Styela clava: one gene and its partner. The protein of the gene in region 2 purifies or fractionates together with the protein of the main gene of each other region. This does not show direct contact. Links are inferred from orthologs where the notes say so. Each region holds a gene or a part of one and is shown on either strand. Other genes may lie near its edges.

Region 1 (8,939 bases), on a different chromosome or scaffold from region 2:
TTTATTTTTTCAAATGTCAATCCTAACCCCACCTGACTACACCATCGATATAATACGTCATTACAACGTCTTAATCATGCCATAGAGTTTGCTAAAGTATACCGTTACCTACGGCCGCGCGAAATGGCATTTGCACCTATGATAAAGAACTTTCTGATAGAAACGAGAGAAATAGATTGCTCGATGTCGAGTGATCGTCCGAACGTATTAGATGATAGTTTGATAATTATTGGATGACGAAGTCAGGTGGGGGTTAAAATTAACATACGCATAAATTATCATGCTACAACCCCTAGAAGTACTGTGAAAGCGCCTAACTTCGGACAAAATTACCATATTTTCATCAATAACTGTACAATATAACATTTATTGTCCAAACGACGCCAAAATTGCTATGTAAAACATTCGTGCAGTAATTAATATTCCCTGCAAATTTTGGGTTTTGGGTTTGGGTTTTTACTATTGAAATATTCTACTTTTCTTGCCATCTGACCGTTATCCTTCACAGCCCTAACTTCGAATAGCCATTTTCCTCAATGCAAAACTGCAACGCACAGAGAGAAAGAGGCTTCCGATGCGGGTGACCTAGTCACGTCGTTGCGTGAAGATAAGACGCTCGATTGACGTCGTAACATAAAATCAACGCCGCGACGACAACGCATTATTTGAAACTTTCATCGTCTTATAATGTTTACATCTTTCGTTCGTTATTTTCGTCAATTCAGATCAATATAATACCACATTAACCAACTACATATCTGATGTAAACCGTTTTAATTTATAATGAAATATTGTAACAGGCTTGTATTGTAAGTCTTTGAAATATTATCATTCTCGACGGATAGCTTTGTTGATGTTACGCTGATAAATCGATATCAAATATACGGCGAACCCAATTGTAAAGTTTAATCTTCAACTTACTCTTGTTAATTAACATTGAGATAGGTGGCGGGATTTTTGTTTGAAATTAAATGAATTTTTCACTTCGAGTGAATAAAATTCACCCAGGCTGTATTCAATAACTGCCATTTCGATTTCATAAAATAATTGTTAAGTCAGTATACATATAGACTGGAATTTTTCTAGTTTTTTTATATGTTCGATTTTTGAAGTCGAGTAAGACACGTATTCTCATTAAGTTGATTTTGGCATATATTCACACATGGACCGAACAAAATACAAAAATATTACACTGGAACGCCGTCTTTATCTAAACGGAAAATGCTAATTTGGCGTCAATGTCGGGCGTCAAAATTCATTTCCACGACCAGTGTGGCGTCGTGTCAGAAGTGAGCAAAAAATGATCTACATGAGATTGACGTTACTTTTGACGCAGCTTGGAATCTCAATAATTTTACGGAATTTTCAATTCAGAACAGAGGTTTTATTCAAATCTTCTACAACATCTTGCGATCACTCTGATAATGTATATACTTTGCTATCGCCCTCTACCGAATGATGGTATTTTGACGATGATAGCTTAATAAGTATGAGCGACGCTCTGCGCCGTTGAATACCAGACAGTCATTTTTTGGCAAAATTCCCGTTTTCTGACCAAAAAAATAATCATGCAACAATAAAAGAATTAACAATAGATGTATATATAACAGCGCTACCTATAATAATTGGAATTTGCAAGATACGACGCCTTTTAGACAAGATATGGTCGTTTAAAATTTTTGTCCTAAATTAGAAACTGTCCGAAGTTAGGCACTTTTACAGTACTTTCGGTACGAAACTACACTAGACCCGAGATTTCATGCTATACCCATAGTCAGAAAAAATTTCGCGATATTGACCAGGTCTTATTTTAAGGGGAGGCCTTATATTAAAATCATTTTAAAATTCGGGCCAGATCTTATTTTCAGGGTACCGCAGGTCTTATTTTCGGGGAAACGCGGTGGTACTGAACTTGAATATTGAAATACTGAATTAGTAAACAGAATGGTATATAAGTATATTTTGATTTTCCCGCAAAAAAATCATACACAAAACCCAAACAATGAACACACAAAAGATTGGGGAAATATGGGAAACTGGCAAAACTTTTATAAAGGTTTAATACATGTGTCAGTTCACCCTCATTCAACACAGAAACTTTTATTCAAAATAAAAAAGACAAAGACACGCATGGGTATCGTTCGTGCGTCAAACTTGTGTAACATAAACACTCGGTGGGTCCCAATCAATAAATACACTTTGATAGAATAGAATGGGGTCTCATGTAGTTTCGTACCTAACATATGTATTCATGTTTCAATCCTAACCCCCACCTGACTACACCATCCAAGAATTACATCATTACGACGTCACAGTGACATAATAGAGCCCTTCAAACTATACGAACTGCCATCCAAAACGCGCAAACGAGCACCCAGAATCGAACAGTTATTACTTTTGTTTTCTCGCCGCAACGACGGCCTTGGATTTCCCTTGCGCTTTGGTCGTTCAAGTCGCGATTTAACTTCTTGTATTGATATGCAATAGATGGCTGGTTCTAGCGGTCAGAGCAAAGTATAGCAATACTTCGTGTGGCGTAATTTGTTAGATATGCTTATCATTATTAAGTCGAAAGGTTTCGCCGATTTAAAAAAAAAAGATGGGTATAATTTGTAGAGCCATTTCAAAGCAAAACACAAGAGCAAGTATGGTTGGAGCCAATGCAGAAAAGCAATGGAGCCAATGCAGAAAAACTCTGCTCAACTACATCTGAGACTGTTGAACTGGAGCTATTGAGATTCATAAGCTTCCTGCCCTTACAATATGTGTTCTTTCTTGCCATGCACACATTGCATGAGTTCAACATTTCAATTCTTTTGCAAGAAAAACACAATATGTTACTTGTAGCCATATTTGTAGGTGAGAAAACATCGGTATCGGCCTAGTTTTAGAAAACTATCGGTACCAGTAGGTTCAAAAAGGCCCTAATCACAACAGTGCTTTTCCTACAAAAATATGGAATAAAAAACACTCTTTGGCGTAAAAATGTTGGGGCTATACACTTTATAAACAATATCATCCATATACATAAGACTCACCTTTCCGGCAACTCTTCCAAGTCTCACAATTCCCAGCTTGACATTAGCCATTCGTGGAAAGATATTCAGGCAACCCGATTCAGCGCGAAACAACCGAACAGAATCGACGAACAGCTGCCGCGAACTCTTTGGCGCCACCTACAAAAGCTTCTGTGCACTCTAGGCCAGGGCAGTGCTCGTCAATCTTTTCTGAAGTACGCCCTTATATCCTTCACTTAAAATCTGGTATACCAATCCTACATTTTTGTTGGCCAAAAACACAATATTTTGAAGTTATACATGTTTATACCGACAATATTTCTGTTATTTACTCTAATGAGATAGCCGCACAGTATGACGTATTAATCCTAATTCAACCACCCCTCGCATTAATGTGATTGAATCTTTACTCTAATTTATTTTCGTTATTTTTATGACAGCAGGAAACCCTTGTTAGGTGAGCTAGATTGTAGGCGTTCGGACGAGAGAGGAAACAGTATGTGTGCAGATACTCAGAAACTTCTATCGCCACCCTGACTTCAATGTAGGGTATTTTTTGTGCTTTGCCCTGTGCGCCAAACCTGATTGTGATTCAAGAAGTATACCAGAGAGAAATTCCGCAATAACAACACAATTGCCATCCTGAAGAATAAAATTATAGGAAAATTCAAAACCGAATGACATTTGCCCTTGCCAAACCATTTCCAGTTTCATTAAGAATGTAGCACAAATTCAATTTTAAAGTGGTTTTTCCAGTTCTGATGTTTACGTACATTTGTAATTAATTTGAAATAGAATCGACCGAGATCACATATATTTTACATGGAAAAAACCTTATATTCTCAAGATAACGAGAAGGCCTTTTTTCAAACTATGGATTCATTCACTCAAGGGAATGATGGATATGATTTACATATTTAGCCTATCCCGGGGAAGAGGAAAGCCGTTTTACCATTTAGGCACTAAACGCCGTTCTAGTAGGCGTGGCATAACCATTTTCGCCCCTGCTTACACTTTCCTTCTTCTCTCTTGCTCCCCTTCTTCTCTCTTGCTGCTCCTCCCCTCTCTCCGCGCTTGCTCTTGGCTTCCTCTATTTCTGCTGACCCAACCCTGGCTCCTCTCACTGGGCCTAGTCCATCTCTGAGGCTCCTCAGTCTGCCATGCCTTGCCTGCTGGTTCATCACTGAGATTCAGCCTACCCCGGTAGATGCCCTCGGCCGCGTGCCTTGCCTGCTGGCCCATACCTGAAGCTTCTGTTCACCTTGTTCGTTGCCCCTCAACTGCCTGCTTTGCTTGCTGGTCCACCCCTGAAACTCCGTCTATCCCGTTGGCGTATCTCTACAACTCTACCTTGTGGGGTTCGAACTCGGCCTCATGTTTGCCCATATCTCTACGCTTCCCCTGAACTACCGCTACTGACGAGGATCGAGTGGATCAGAATCTTACTTGATTAACAAAGTCACGCTTGGTAGCCCACGACAAGATTACCTCGAAAAAATTACGTTGTACACACTGTGGTGATTCCAAGCATGTGTATTCATGCCTGTGATATCCCGTTTTTAAATTTGTGCTACATTTTAGTTCACTCTTTTTTATCAAAAAAATGCGTTGATATGCAATCATAGCGACGCATAAGATAACAAATTTCTGACTGTGAATGAAGGAACACCAATGACATTAAACAACATGATGCGCAACTCCGGCATTTTTGTCCGAAGATCGTATTCGATAGCACGCTCCAATGCACATACTTGACGAGACGAAAACGAGCGGATGTGTGCTGCTTTCAAGGCGTAGCACGAATGGTGTTCGTGCCTGCTTTGACAGTTGTTGTCGATTTTAATGATATTTTGGAAAGTTAAGGTAAAAAGAAATCGAAAAAAGGTAAGGTAAATACTATTGTTGTATATCACACCCGGGCATCGCACTGTTAAGTACATGTGGGAAAGCCAGCCTTTGTCAAATACTACGAAGGTATTAATTCAGTACGGTACGTAGTTGCCCATTTGCCGAAATTACATATTTACTTACACCTTATGGTTTCAAATAGTTCATGCACCTCCAGTTAGATTTTTTTAATCAGTGAGGATATATACTCATTGTTGATTGCTGCTCATTGTAACATACTATTACGCATTCACTTTTATTTGCGTATTGAAGTCGTAGTCTGATTTCTCAAGTATTTGGAGCCACGAATGCTTGTAATTTTCTGACTAAACCCTTTTATTAGTTGGTTTATATACCAAACTCAGTAAAATATTTTTTACATAAAACATGAGATATTGGATTTATTAGCTTTTCCATTCTGAATCATATAGACTGCTTTATTTATTCTTAACGAAAATTAATAAATCTCCTCTCTTTCTTCAGATGTGAAAGTTGTGGACAAACCTGTCTAAGCATTGTGAGACTCCTGCAGCACAAGATGCAATAGCAGAAATAGTAAGTATATCAATCAAGAAATTAAGCCGACATAAAGCAAAACTTTCAACTATTCGTCTAATCTCAATTTTCTATTATTTATTCACAGGACAACTATAGCAGAAGGGGAGATATCAGAAGTCTGGCGACATATCAGTGACAGTGTGATTCCAAGAAATATAATTAGAGTACTCCATAAATGTTTGCAATAGAAAAACAACTTATGGAGGCATGCAAAGACATTTGACCCTCCGGTAGAGTTGTGTATGGCCCTCACATCCTGCAGGGCTTAAGGAAAATAACTAAAAATTCCAAAGCGTAATATTGCATAAGCGGTCTTATTTATAAAAAGGCACAAAACACGCCAGACATACTTAAAACAGCTTTGGAAAATGAGGATTACGGGTAACTCACTGCACCTGTGTTATATTTAGTTCATCAACTTTTGGTAGTACTATAGAAGAAATTCCGGAAGGGGTATAATCATCATTCATGATAAAATACTAACATATATTTTTTGGACAACTTCAATCTAGACCAGGGATCTCAAACTCGCGGCCCCAAAGAACTTCCAGTGCGGCCCTCAAATGCTTAACAATAATTGTAATAGTATTTTGGAAGTTTTTTTTTATCTTAATGTAATAGATTTTTCAAACCTTTTAAAGTGAAATTGAATATTCACACAGAAAACAATTTACTGAAAGTAGTTTTGGAATATTAATTTTTTTTGTCCACATTTTGACCCAATTAGGAATATACACACCAAGCTAGCAAACGAATACTTGAATAAAACACTTGAGTGATTAAATTAAACGCAAAGTACATGAAGAAGGTGGCATTTTCGAAGAAAATGGGAGTTGCAACATTTCTGCTTTTCACAAAATTCTGAAGCACATTGTTTAATTTGTCATATTTCCATCAATACAATGAAAAAACAGAATAAGCTCAGCAGTCAATATGAAAAATTCGAAGACCAACTTCGAACAGAAAATTTCCATGTGTTTGTATATTAATATAATTATACAACGACTTAGTTACTAAAAATCAATATCAATAATAATTCAAGCAATCCTATGTCACGCAATGTGGTGCGAAATGTCTTGTCGAAAAAATCTGTCATTTTTTTTTTTACTGATCTATACATGAAATGATAAAAGTAACTTTTTTGCATTACCGGAATTAATTAAACATTTGCACAGATTAACCCATGATCATGTGGCCTCGTAAGTTAGAGTTGGTACTATAAAATCATTTCAGCCTGGCCTTAGTATGCTGGTGACACAAAAACGATGCCAAACGTCAGGACAAATGTAATTATTAAAACATTGAGTTTATACTGTAGTATTTTTGTTAATTTTAGGTTCATATATTTAGATTAAGTTATTTTTAGTGTATGTATTATTCTTTCCTTATTCAAAGCTTGTTCAAAAATGATTTTGATGGTTGTACATAGAATTTTAGGATTTTTTATAATAAATACAGTAACTTGCAAATGTTGCAATAATAGTGGAATGCAAATATTAATATGTAATTGCATTTGAAATTGAAGAAAATAATAAAACTTAATCCAACTGTTTAGTTGCATCACAATATATGTCACAAACTAAAACTATCTTAAAAATATCTTTTAAGTATACATTATCAAAAACTGTTTGCGGCTCTTTTTACAATTTCCAAAATGCAATGCGGCTCTCGAAAACCCATGAGTTTGACACCACTGATCTATTCTAGACGATTCAAGCATTGCTTTGGGAAATCATATCACTTCAATTAAATTGAAATAATCTCGCTATATTAAATACAAAATCGTTGCTATCATAAAGGTAAACCAATTCAGCCACTCGAAATATATTGGCCTTCACAAAGCAATGGAGGCAAAATTGAGAGTTCATGAGCTATGAACATTTGTTCTTTTCTTTGTCTTGAACTTTTCATACTCCACAGCCCCTATTAATTTTATTTTATTTTAATTACCATGTGATGGTCATACATATCTTTAACTTGTATTTTCTGTCATGATGTATCATCTCAATGTGCCAAACTATTAATTAGTGTGCATATTTTGCTTCCAGATGACATAAATGTATTTTCTTGTTTATTACCTCAGCTTGGAGTATTGACAAGAAAAAGGTGCCAGTAAATTAGATAAAAATTTTTTTAACTCTTTGTTATAATCAGAATTCACAATCAATAGGAATTATAAACATCCAACAATCAATGAGAATTATATGCGAAATCCCTGAGCATAAATTTGTCTAAAATCGGAGGAAGGCAAAAAATATAGGTAGTTTCCATCCACACAAGCATTTCAAGAAGACTTGCTCGAGTCAAATTAAATGAGCATCGTCAGGTGATCGGTAAGGCTGCAAGTTGAATTCAGCCCTGCAACCTCCTGCATAGAAGATAATATTAATTAGTGGGCTATGAGCTAAATTCCTGAATTTAAACAAACCTATCTACGATGCATTATGTACCAGCAATGTTACCTACGATTAACTGAATATGTAATATGTCTAATAAATTCACCTACAAAAGCAAGTTCGATAGGTGCAAACTTTGTGTTATGGAATTGTATCACAGCACAGTTTTGTATGACACCCTCTTCAAATGAAATTTCAATGATTAAGCGCAAACATTAAAATTACTAACTTTGAATTTTGTCATTATCTGCAAAATGTTCCAAACAAATCTTTCGGCTATCGCGTTTGTAATCTTCTCTGATAAAAAAAAACGTCTGTGATGTCCAGAATTGCTCTTTACAGCTTGCCTGCCATTCCAGCTTTCCAAGTGAGCAAAACTTCTTAGATATAGAGATTATTTTGTTTCGTTACAGGCGCAAAAAGGCAAGTACTACACGTAAAAAAGACGCCGAGTAGCAAAAGCGAGTGGAAAACGGACGCGAAAGGCGACGAGAAATATGTGCATTGGAGCGTATCATGAAATACAATCTTTCGCCTATAGTCTTATGGAGTGACGTCAGAGTTGCCTATCATGTTGTTTAATGTCATTGGGAACACTAAGACTGATAAGGGTTCATCAATTTGATCCTTTCTGTCTCCTCTGCGCTAATCATTATAAAGTAGGCCATGGTCAATTAGTTTTCCATCTTATTATTAATGCAATCCTCGGGATTCTTTCGCAGGTCGTGTATGGAAATTTCTGTGGTGCCACCTTTTCCTTGGAGCCCTAAACACGTGATTATTTACACGATTTTTTTTTATATTCAGTACAAACCAAGTTAGTCTGGCGACCCTGATCGCTGCGTCAAAGGCATATAAAGACAGAGATAGAGCAGATCAACTTGAATGAAAATGAATGAAGTTTTGAAAATAAAAAAAGATAAATTAAGAGATGGGTAATCCAGAAATGGGTAAGCCGAGGTGTAATGTCTGCGAGAAAATTCTTTTCGAGGATTCAATGAATAGGAACAAGCAGCCACGTCGAATGGAGTCGAACCACCCGGGCTGCGTCGATAAACAATGGGATATTTGCATCGAGAGA
Region 2 (8,799 bases):
ACAGTGGTACTACCAAAAAATAAACATCAGTTTAGAGTACACATTTCGACATTATTTTGTCATATGTATGGCATATTTAAACGCTTTTTGCTCCAAAACAGGCACTGCACAAGCAATTGCAAGATTAAGAGCTACTGTTTTTGGAAGGTCCAAACTTTTCATGGTTCCGCACTGCCTACGCAATTTATTCACGAGGTGGTGGGCATGGGATTTAATTACAAGCTAGTTTGAACTTGTGGGCTGAGATGTTATTATAGTAAACAGGGACATAGCCAGGGCAGTTTTGAGGGTCGAAACCTCCTGCCTGATTTGAAATGAAAAAAAAAAGGATTTTTCTGTATCTTACAATTCAATTTTTCTCAGCTTGAAACGCTTATTAGCCCCCTAAGATTCTTAACACCCAAACGTTTTCCGGTCGGACCCAATAGCTGTTACAACCAAACTTGGCAAATATTAATCTCAGAACTCTCATTTGAAAAATTCTGGCTACGTCCCTGATTACTCCTTCTGTAATATCTTGAATTGCCCTCAATCGGTTCTAACTAGTCGAGGTCGGGAAGTTATAGTAACAACCTAAATTGTCTCACCTATTTTGATAAACCTGCAAGGGAAAAGTTGTCCATCTATTCTATGCTTCATATGGAATGTTTCTGGGTTGTGATCGTTCTTTAGTCCACCTTTGAGTAACTCTATCAGATTATCCTCTTCCATTCCCCCTAGAACCTGAAACAACAGCAACAAAAATTTATTGATTCAAGAGACTTATTGCACTCGATACAACACTCTAGTGCTAAACAACATTCACTCTAAGAGCTTGCTTAGTTGCGCGGAATAGAAGGCTATGTAAGCTCCAAAAAAAGGTCTGCGCGGAAAATTAGAAAAAATAGAAAAGAACACATTTTAAACGAACACAGAATTGTCAATACTTATGCAGTGCGCGGCAGAACGAAAGTACTGTGCATGGATTCTCGGCGCAGCTTAGAGGGAGGCGTTGGTGCTAAAGTTAAAAATAACACAGTTCATTGTGGTAAAAATGCACAATGACGCAACATTTCGGCAATGAGAGACTTCTATTTTTTGCCTCATTCCAGTTTCGAGCATTTACTCTTAAAACTTCAACTCTTACTTTAAATTTCTTGATATTACAGACATGATTTTTCTCAAATTTTCCGAACATAATGGTTTGAACGATCGCTGGTCGTGGTAGTTTGAGGAGTAGAAACTGAGGGGGTGAATTGGAGCTTGATGACCATCTCGATGACTGTTTTGTCGGCTCATTCTGTTGAATGTTTCTGTAATGTGGAGGTTTTGTTATTATCAAATGCTTATACCGGTATGATTTATCTACCAAAATGGGTAAATGTTCTCAGTTAAAAAATCTGAGAATAGGGTACTCATATTTATCCAGGTGGAGAGAAATAGCATACAATGGAACGGTATTTTCATAATGGCAACTGTGTAAAATAATTTCTCATATTTATTGCTAAGATAGGGATGTTAATTAAAAAAAAGATGCAGACTCTTTTCTTTCTAAACTAGTCATGTTCTGATGGGAATTGCGGATAGGATAACCCTGGCGCTCGGCCGTTTGGCACATCGTGATAAACGTTAAAAATACGCTCGCCAATGCACCTCTGATTGCGGTACATGGCAGCATAAACGTGATACAGAGGGGGCGGTGTGGCTCAACGGGATAAGCGTTAGGAATACGCTCGCCACCGCACCTTTAATTACTCTGCGTGGGTTCGCCCCAACCTTTGACCCGCGAAAAATTCCTCTCATTGTTACGTCCTTTTTTGCATCTTGCTGATTGGCCAATGTCACGAAGTAAACAAGGAAGTCGATGCTCGGGGAAAGGTCCATATCGTGTTGAATGATAGGAAATAGGAATCCCGTGAGAATAGTTATGGACGAAAAGATCGCCTCCGCACCAATGGCCAAGTACGGCTCTGATTCAGCGTATTTTTCATACAATAATTTTACACGAATGTACTGAACAGTACCGGTATCTAAAGTTGCTCAAACACTCCCAAAATTAGTGACAAAGTATGAAAATAATGTTTGGGGTCAAAGGTCAAACGTCCATTTTGCTCTAATTTGACGTATTTTTTATCCATTAATTCTACGTAAAAACACTACCAAAATTAATGACAAAGTATGTCCATTTTGCTCTGGTTCAACGTATTTTTTATCCAATAATTTTACGCGGGTGTACTGAACAGTACCGGTATCCAAAGTCGCACAAACACTCTCAAAATTAGCGACAAACTGTAGAAATAATGTTTGGGGTCAAAGGTCAAACGTCCATTTTTTCTCTGATTCAACGTATTTTTTATCCGATACCGGTAATTTTACGCGGATGTATTGAGAGGTATCTGATGTCAAAGTCAGTTGCACGCGAGTGCAGTTGTTTTGCACGTCGTGAGCTATAATTGCACGCCAGGAATTCTTATTTGCACGCGGGAATTTCTGATTGCACGCCCGATTTCTCGTTCAAAAAGGCCATGAAATCCAGACTGGGTTACCAGTACGGCTTCCTCCACCGCCAAGTCAATGCTTCCGAAAACGAACAATAGGCTATAACTAATCCCATACCCGACTTGGAACGGTAACCGGACGAGAGGCGGTGGTTCGCCATATGGATAGGCCGTCTTATCGGCTTTCCTCTCCCCCTGGATAAATATGTAAATCCTATTTTACTGACATTAGAATAACCATTGAACTGGTACGGTAAGCTGGTGAATTGAACAAAGCAATGTTAAAGAGCAAATGTTGGAATGGCAATTCAGTCAGAAAATAAACCAATGTCTGAATGTCGCAAATTTTTGCTCGTACAGCGATAGACTACGGCAGGGCTACTCAACTGGCGGACCGCGGTCCGAATCCGGACCTTTCGAGTATTGGATTTGGACCGCACCTGATTATTTATTTTGGATCATTAGCCCCACTTTTTGAATTTCCTATTATAAAATGACTTTCATAGTTTTGAGTATATACAGATATAGGAAAAGAAATATAACACCATAATAAACAATTTTAATATGCTACTAATCATTAGCCGGTCGAGGAAATTCTCGTTAAAGGATGCCGAAATATCAGTTCTGGAAAGACCGGACCCAAATAATTTTGAAGTTTTGTTTGCGGACCTCCGATAAAAATAGTAGCCCTGGACTACGGTACCGTACGGTAAGTCTGTAAGTACAATTAAAAACAATCAAAAACGAACTTACTCTGGCAGATAATTCGTAGAATAACTAGACCAGTTAAAAATCTTGTAATTCAAGAAGGCGTTCTCCTCGCTAGACATTACAAACGACTGTTTTATGGCGGTGAAATACGGTACCGGTACCAAACGGGGAAAGCATTCAAAGCGCCGTAAATTTGCAGAATGCACTGAAATCGGAAACACAGGACGCCTGTTTACGAATCGGAAAACCGGATCACTGGAGTCGAATCCGGCAAGACGTCATTAATTTTACTGGCCAGTAATGAGTAATTTATTTCTTCACCATGCTGAAAACACGCGCTATGTACATAGTATACTCAAATTAAAAAAATATATAAAAAAAAAACGCATTTGATAGAAAACTCTGAAAACCAATACTGGTTGTCGAGCGGCGGCACTTTTCGCAAATATGTTTTCCTTTTGAGATGTAAAATTGCTCTTTTCTGTCGCCAAGCCGTGGTGTGTGGAATTATTTAAGCTACATTCCCACAAGGTAAATAGCTTTTATTGGACACGTGAGTGGACCTATAGATCGTTTTCCTATTTTTGGTAATCTTGTTCTTGTTGGCCTCTTCTTCTTTATATCGTTTTGAAAAAATCCCTTTTCCCCTTGAATATTGGACCAGTTGCGTTGAAATTTTCAGTGTCTAAAATTTTATTCTTTGCTAGAAGGATATTACTTTAATTTATTGTTTTTTGTGTGATATGACGCCATCACAATTTGCCACTATGTGGCACTACGTGTCCATATATTCGAGCATAGCTCTGTTTTTAGTTATTTCTATACACCTCAATGGTTATTTCCCACTTCAATGAACACGGACCTATGGATTGTTTTGCTTTTACGGACACCTAGTGGGGAATCTTAAAAAATCACTTTTTTGATTACTGGACCAATTCCTCTGAAATTTTTAGTGGTTAGAGATAAAAAAAAATTCTAGAAGACTATTACTTTCATTTATTTCAAATATTCCTGATAGCACCGTGGAATTCGTTTTTTTACACAAAAAGAACTTGTTTTTTATGCTGGCAACTTTTCTTGTTATTCTTTTGGTCACGTGCTCATCGAACGTCGGTGGTGTGTAACAAAATTCTTGCTTTGCTAAGAGTTCCTAATGAGGAATGGCGAACAGAGCCGTACACCCATGTCCATATAATTTAGCATAGCTCTCTTGTTTTACCTAAGCAAGGTCACGGCCACCCCAGACCCATTGTATACTTATATAATGTCTCTGGCCACCTGTTCAAAAATAAAAGCACAGACTGGTTTCTGAATAAATTTACGGATGACAACATTAAATTAATTATAAGTATACGCATAAGTTAATTTGGACTTCATAATCAGCTTAATAAACGATAAAATAATTGTTAAAAACAAAATAAATAAACTTATTACAGAATCAGGATTAGGTAATGATTTTTTTTACTCCACCCTAGATGAAAAAGTCAGATTATGTGTCAGCAAATCGCATTTTGTACTGCAATACATTAGAATAGGACTTGCATATTTATTCCGCGGATAAGGAAACCGATAAGACGGCTTAATCACATGGCGTATCAGTGCCTCTCGTCTGGTAAGTAGGGCTGGGCATTTTCGAATACCTTGTGATTTCAGAATCGAATCGAATAATTTTTTCGAATCGAATCGAATCTCGTATACTTGAAAATATATAATTGTAAGCGATCTTAATATAGTAATTGGTCCTCTCAACAAATGAATTACTGAAGACATAGAATAAATCACTCAGATAGATTACTGAGCGTTCACACAGAATAACTCACTACAGGAAATATTCATATGTTAGAATTTCGTTGAAAAAATATGACTTCAATGAAAAAAAACTTGGGGAATTCACCTCGACCATTAGCGGAAAGATAAAAACAAGATGGCGGCGATTCGAAGTTTAGCTCTGAACCGATTCGAATAATTTACTATTCGATTCGAAATGCCCACCCCTACTGGTAAGTGATCAGTTAGCTAGTAAATCTGTTTCAAATTGATGAACTTTATGGTGGAGCAAGTGAACCATCTTACGACGGCGAAGAATCCCGTAATACTCTCACACATGATAGAGATAAATCTAGTTCCTAAATATTTGTCAACCAATGAAGACAGCGGCGGATTAAGCAAGCCCCTTTGGTGCCCTAAGCACTGAAGACTTTGGTGCCCTCTCATGTGTAATTTAATTATAAAAACCACATAAGTGAATTATCATTAAAAATAATCACAACCAACAGTAAATAAACAAATTTTACGAACATTTTTAGGTTTTTTAACAGCCATATATAGCCAATAAATATATCGGCCGTTTACCGCCGATAGGATATATCGGCAAACACGCAATATCGGACCGATATATCGGTTGATCTCTAATCCTAAGGAAGTGTGACAATAAAGATTTATGCCTCGAGTCTCAACGTGAATCGAAATACCAAAGTATATGAGTATAACAACTGTAGTTTGAAATTTTACCGGCACCTAGTAGTCTACCTCAGGGTGCTTCAAGGTTGCTAGGTTGAAGAACCGCAAAACCTTTGAGGAGGTCTCGCGGGCCGCAAGTCGGAGAAAACCCACTTTAAATTTAATAAACAACGAGAGTTTACCGTTCTAATCAGACCATTATTATGCTGCATGGGTGGCGTTCTTTTAAAGAAAATGTATATAGCCGTCGTTATTTTAAAGTTAATTCCCGAGAATTACCGTTGTATTTTGCGCATCTCACTTTTTAATGTCGCCTCAAATTATATTCTTTCGTGACAGATATATATTACTTGAAATCTAACCAGACACTGTGTGATGGGCAAGGAAATACGTTTCCGCCGTGATTTCTCTATGTCACCTTTCTTTCGACACTCATTTTATTACGTATTGTTATATTGAGTAATTTAGAAACGTAAGTAATTTCGTCACCACTGTCACATGGCCCACGCTCAAAAACAGAGGAGTGTTTTTACTAAAATAAAAGCACAAAGCGTTAGAAAAGGGGTTTGAATCTCGGGATCCCAACCCCAGTTGGAATAGCTAAAAAAAAAACTCAAAAACGTTCCTCCATTAGATACAAATATACGCTTAAATTGTTCAGTGAGCCGCAGGGAATGTATCAGCATGACAGGGTTTGGACCACCCTGGTCTACCTCATCAAAAAACTTCGCTGACCATTGGATCGTTGAAATGCGATCGTGGAACCGTCACATAATGTGAATAGTTCATTGGTTTAATTGTTGAAGAGAAAATTTTTATTTTAAAACAAAAATGCAGCAACAAGGTGAATACTAGAAAGAAAAGACAACGACAATTTAAGAAAACGACTCATAGGCCCATTTCGTGTCCAATAAATAGGTTTCAGTGTTTATTTTTAATAAACAAGGCTAATATGATACTTGAAGCCGAAAAATAAGCGAACATTTTAAAGTTTGAGTCGTCTGGTGAACTCGTAATATTTTAATAAACACCGATAAACTATATAAAATGATTTATCATCATTATAAAAAGTATCATCAGTTCGGGTTTAAACTTTCTAAAAATATGTGCGGCCCGCCAATGACTTGCAACCCTTATTTTGGCCCGCTAGGGACAAAAGGTTGCTGACCCCTGGTTTAATGGTTAATCCGGCGCTGTCCACATGCATGTACTTTTGTTTTCTATTTGGATGGTGTGATTCTTTGTGAGGATTTTCTTTGTGATTATCTTTGAATTATTGTAATCAGGTGACCAGTCGAGCTATATTTGGATTCTCCCCTACATTTTAACTTGCTATAGTACAATATGCTGTGCCCGCGTGTATACAAAGATTTCATCCTTTGTCGAAGTTACGCTGTGTACTTAGAGCATGCAAATGTGTGTGGTGTTAATGATTAAGATAATCGCCAACATGAGTGTGGTTTGACCGTAAATATACACTACTACTAGATGTCCAACTCCGCTCGCCGTATAATAAACAAACAAAGGCGATGTTGCACCTCCAAGTGGCGGGCGTCACGGTTGGTTTTGTTCAGACTAAATGCTTAGGGACGACGACGCTCCTGCATCACAGCTCGAAAACTAGCCCTGTTCATTGATGACTGATCGAAATATTTGCTGAAGGACGAAGAGATTCGATAAAATGAACAAATAATTGTGAAAATGAAGACACAGTCTGTCTTGCAACTGACCAGGATGATGTGACAACTTCCTTGTCAAAAGAAAGCAAGGCATCAAAAATGCGATGCGTTGCAAAAAATGTCAGTCAGATGTAGGTAAAGTGGTGACGAAAAGGAATACTTTGCACTTTATATATATAAAAAAAACGCTTAGTAGCACGGCATTTTGGTCTCACTCCATCTCAAGTATTGCAGCTTTCACACAAGTTTTTTCTCCACTTGACCCATGGCTATAATCAGGGCTGCCACAACGTCCTTATTTTTAGAATTTGTCCTTATTTTGAAGGTCTTTATTTTAGGAAATGTTTTTGCCCTTGTTTCTAAGAAACATCTTTATTTTGACGTGTGTCCTTATTTTTAACCTTATAAATTAAAATACCAGTAATTTAAACTTTGAATTTAGTTTAGATCTGGAACTTCATAAGAGATAAAATGAGTGAACGTTAAAAATTTGCTGTGATGATTACCAGAAAGAATTCAACGGCGTCGAACGAAACGAAGGGCCAGTGATTTGCGCACTGCAGCTTTTGTGAATGTGACAACAATCTAGAATGCATAGGTAGAGCAGCAATTTCTGTTAATAATGCAACCCAGAAACACAAGGCTCTGCTCAAGAAATTAATCAAACCAATCTATAAATAACTTTTTTAAGAGTCAATGATTATACAAAGGCTATCTCAACACATGCAAGCAGCTGAAATTTATTTCCATCATCCCATCATTGAACATCTGACACTTGAAATAAAAGAAAAATATTCTCAAATCATTCATAAGTGAATACCTATTAAACAATGTAACTGAATGTCAAGATGTAACAACACTACTTGAGAAAGTATTCAAAAAATTTGAGCAAATGTATACGCAAAGTACTGCAGCCAAAATAATAACAACAAATGGACGAAACCAATTGAAGAAACACAGCAGCTAGAACGAAGATTAAGATGTATGTGATTACAGTCAAGTTTCCGTACTCCTGAAGTATGCGTACCAAGAAAGGAGGACACCGGAACGTAGTATGTGTACCACGTTAGCGTTAGGCCACATGTCCTTATTTTAGTTCTATTACGAGTTCAGGGACTAACCAATAGAGTTTCGTAGTATTTGTACCTAAAAGTATGGCCTAACCTGGTACATATACTATGTTCCGTTGTCCGTCATCTTGGTACACGTATTTCTGGAGTACCCAAGTTTTTTTCTCAAAATTCCATAGAAATACAAATTATTATTCAATTACTAATGTGAATAAACACTGAATATCGAGTTATATTAATAGTTGTATTGATGTTTTTTAATGCTTTGGGAGTGGTTCTTAGCTGGAGTAAAAAGGCAATTTAGGTTCTATCACGTGGACATTGCTACATATTTCTTTTCGTTGCTGCTTTTCAATCAAATGGAGCACCGATGGATTCCCAGCCCCGCGACCTGCAAAATAT

What was found.
Region 1: the proteins of muskelin-like (region 2) and zinc finger MYND domain-containing protein 19-like purify together in Homo sapiens (affinity purification with mass spectrometry; 3 studies listed by BioGRID and IntAct, with this or other methods). This does not show direct contact. The link is inferred for Styela clava from reciprocal best matches to the Homo sapiens genes MKLN1 and ZMYND19.

The regions. Positions count from the first base shown.
Region 1 is NC_135254.1:72,427-81,365, reverse strand, and holds the start of zinc finger MYND domain-containing protein 19-like, read right to left. Parts: upstream 3,253-8,939; 5' UTR 3,090-3,252; coding exon 3,039-3,089; intron 1-3,038. UniProt on the Homo sapiens protein: May be involved as a regulatory molecule in GPR24/MCH-R1 signaling.
Region 2 is NC_135256.1:3,514,722-3,523,520, forward strand, and holds the start of muskelin-like, read right to left. Parts: upstream 3,429-8,799; 5' UTR 3,308-3,428; coding exon 3,231-3,307; intron 1,293-3,230; coding exon 1,127-1,292; intron 724-1,126; coding exon 588-723; intron 10-587; coding exon 1-9. UniProt on the Homo sapiens protein: Component of the CTLH E3 ubiquitin-protein ligase complex that selectively accepts ubiquitin from UBE2H and mediates ubiquitination and subsequent proteasomal degradation of the transcription factor HBP1.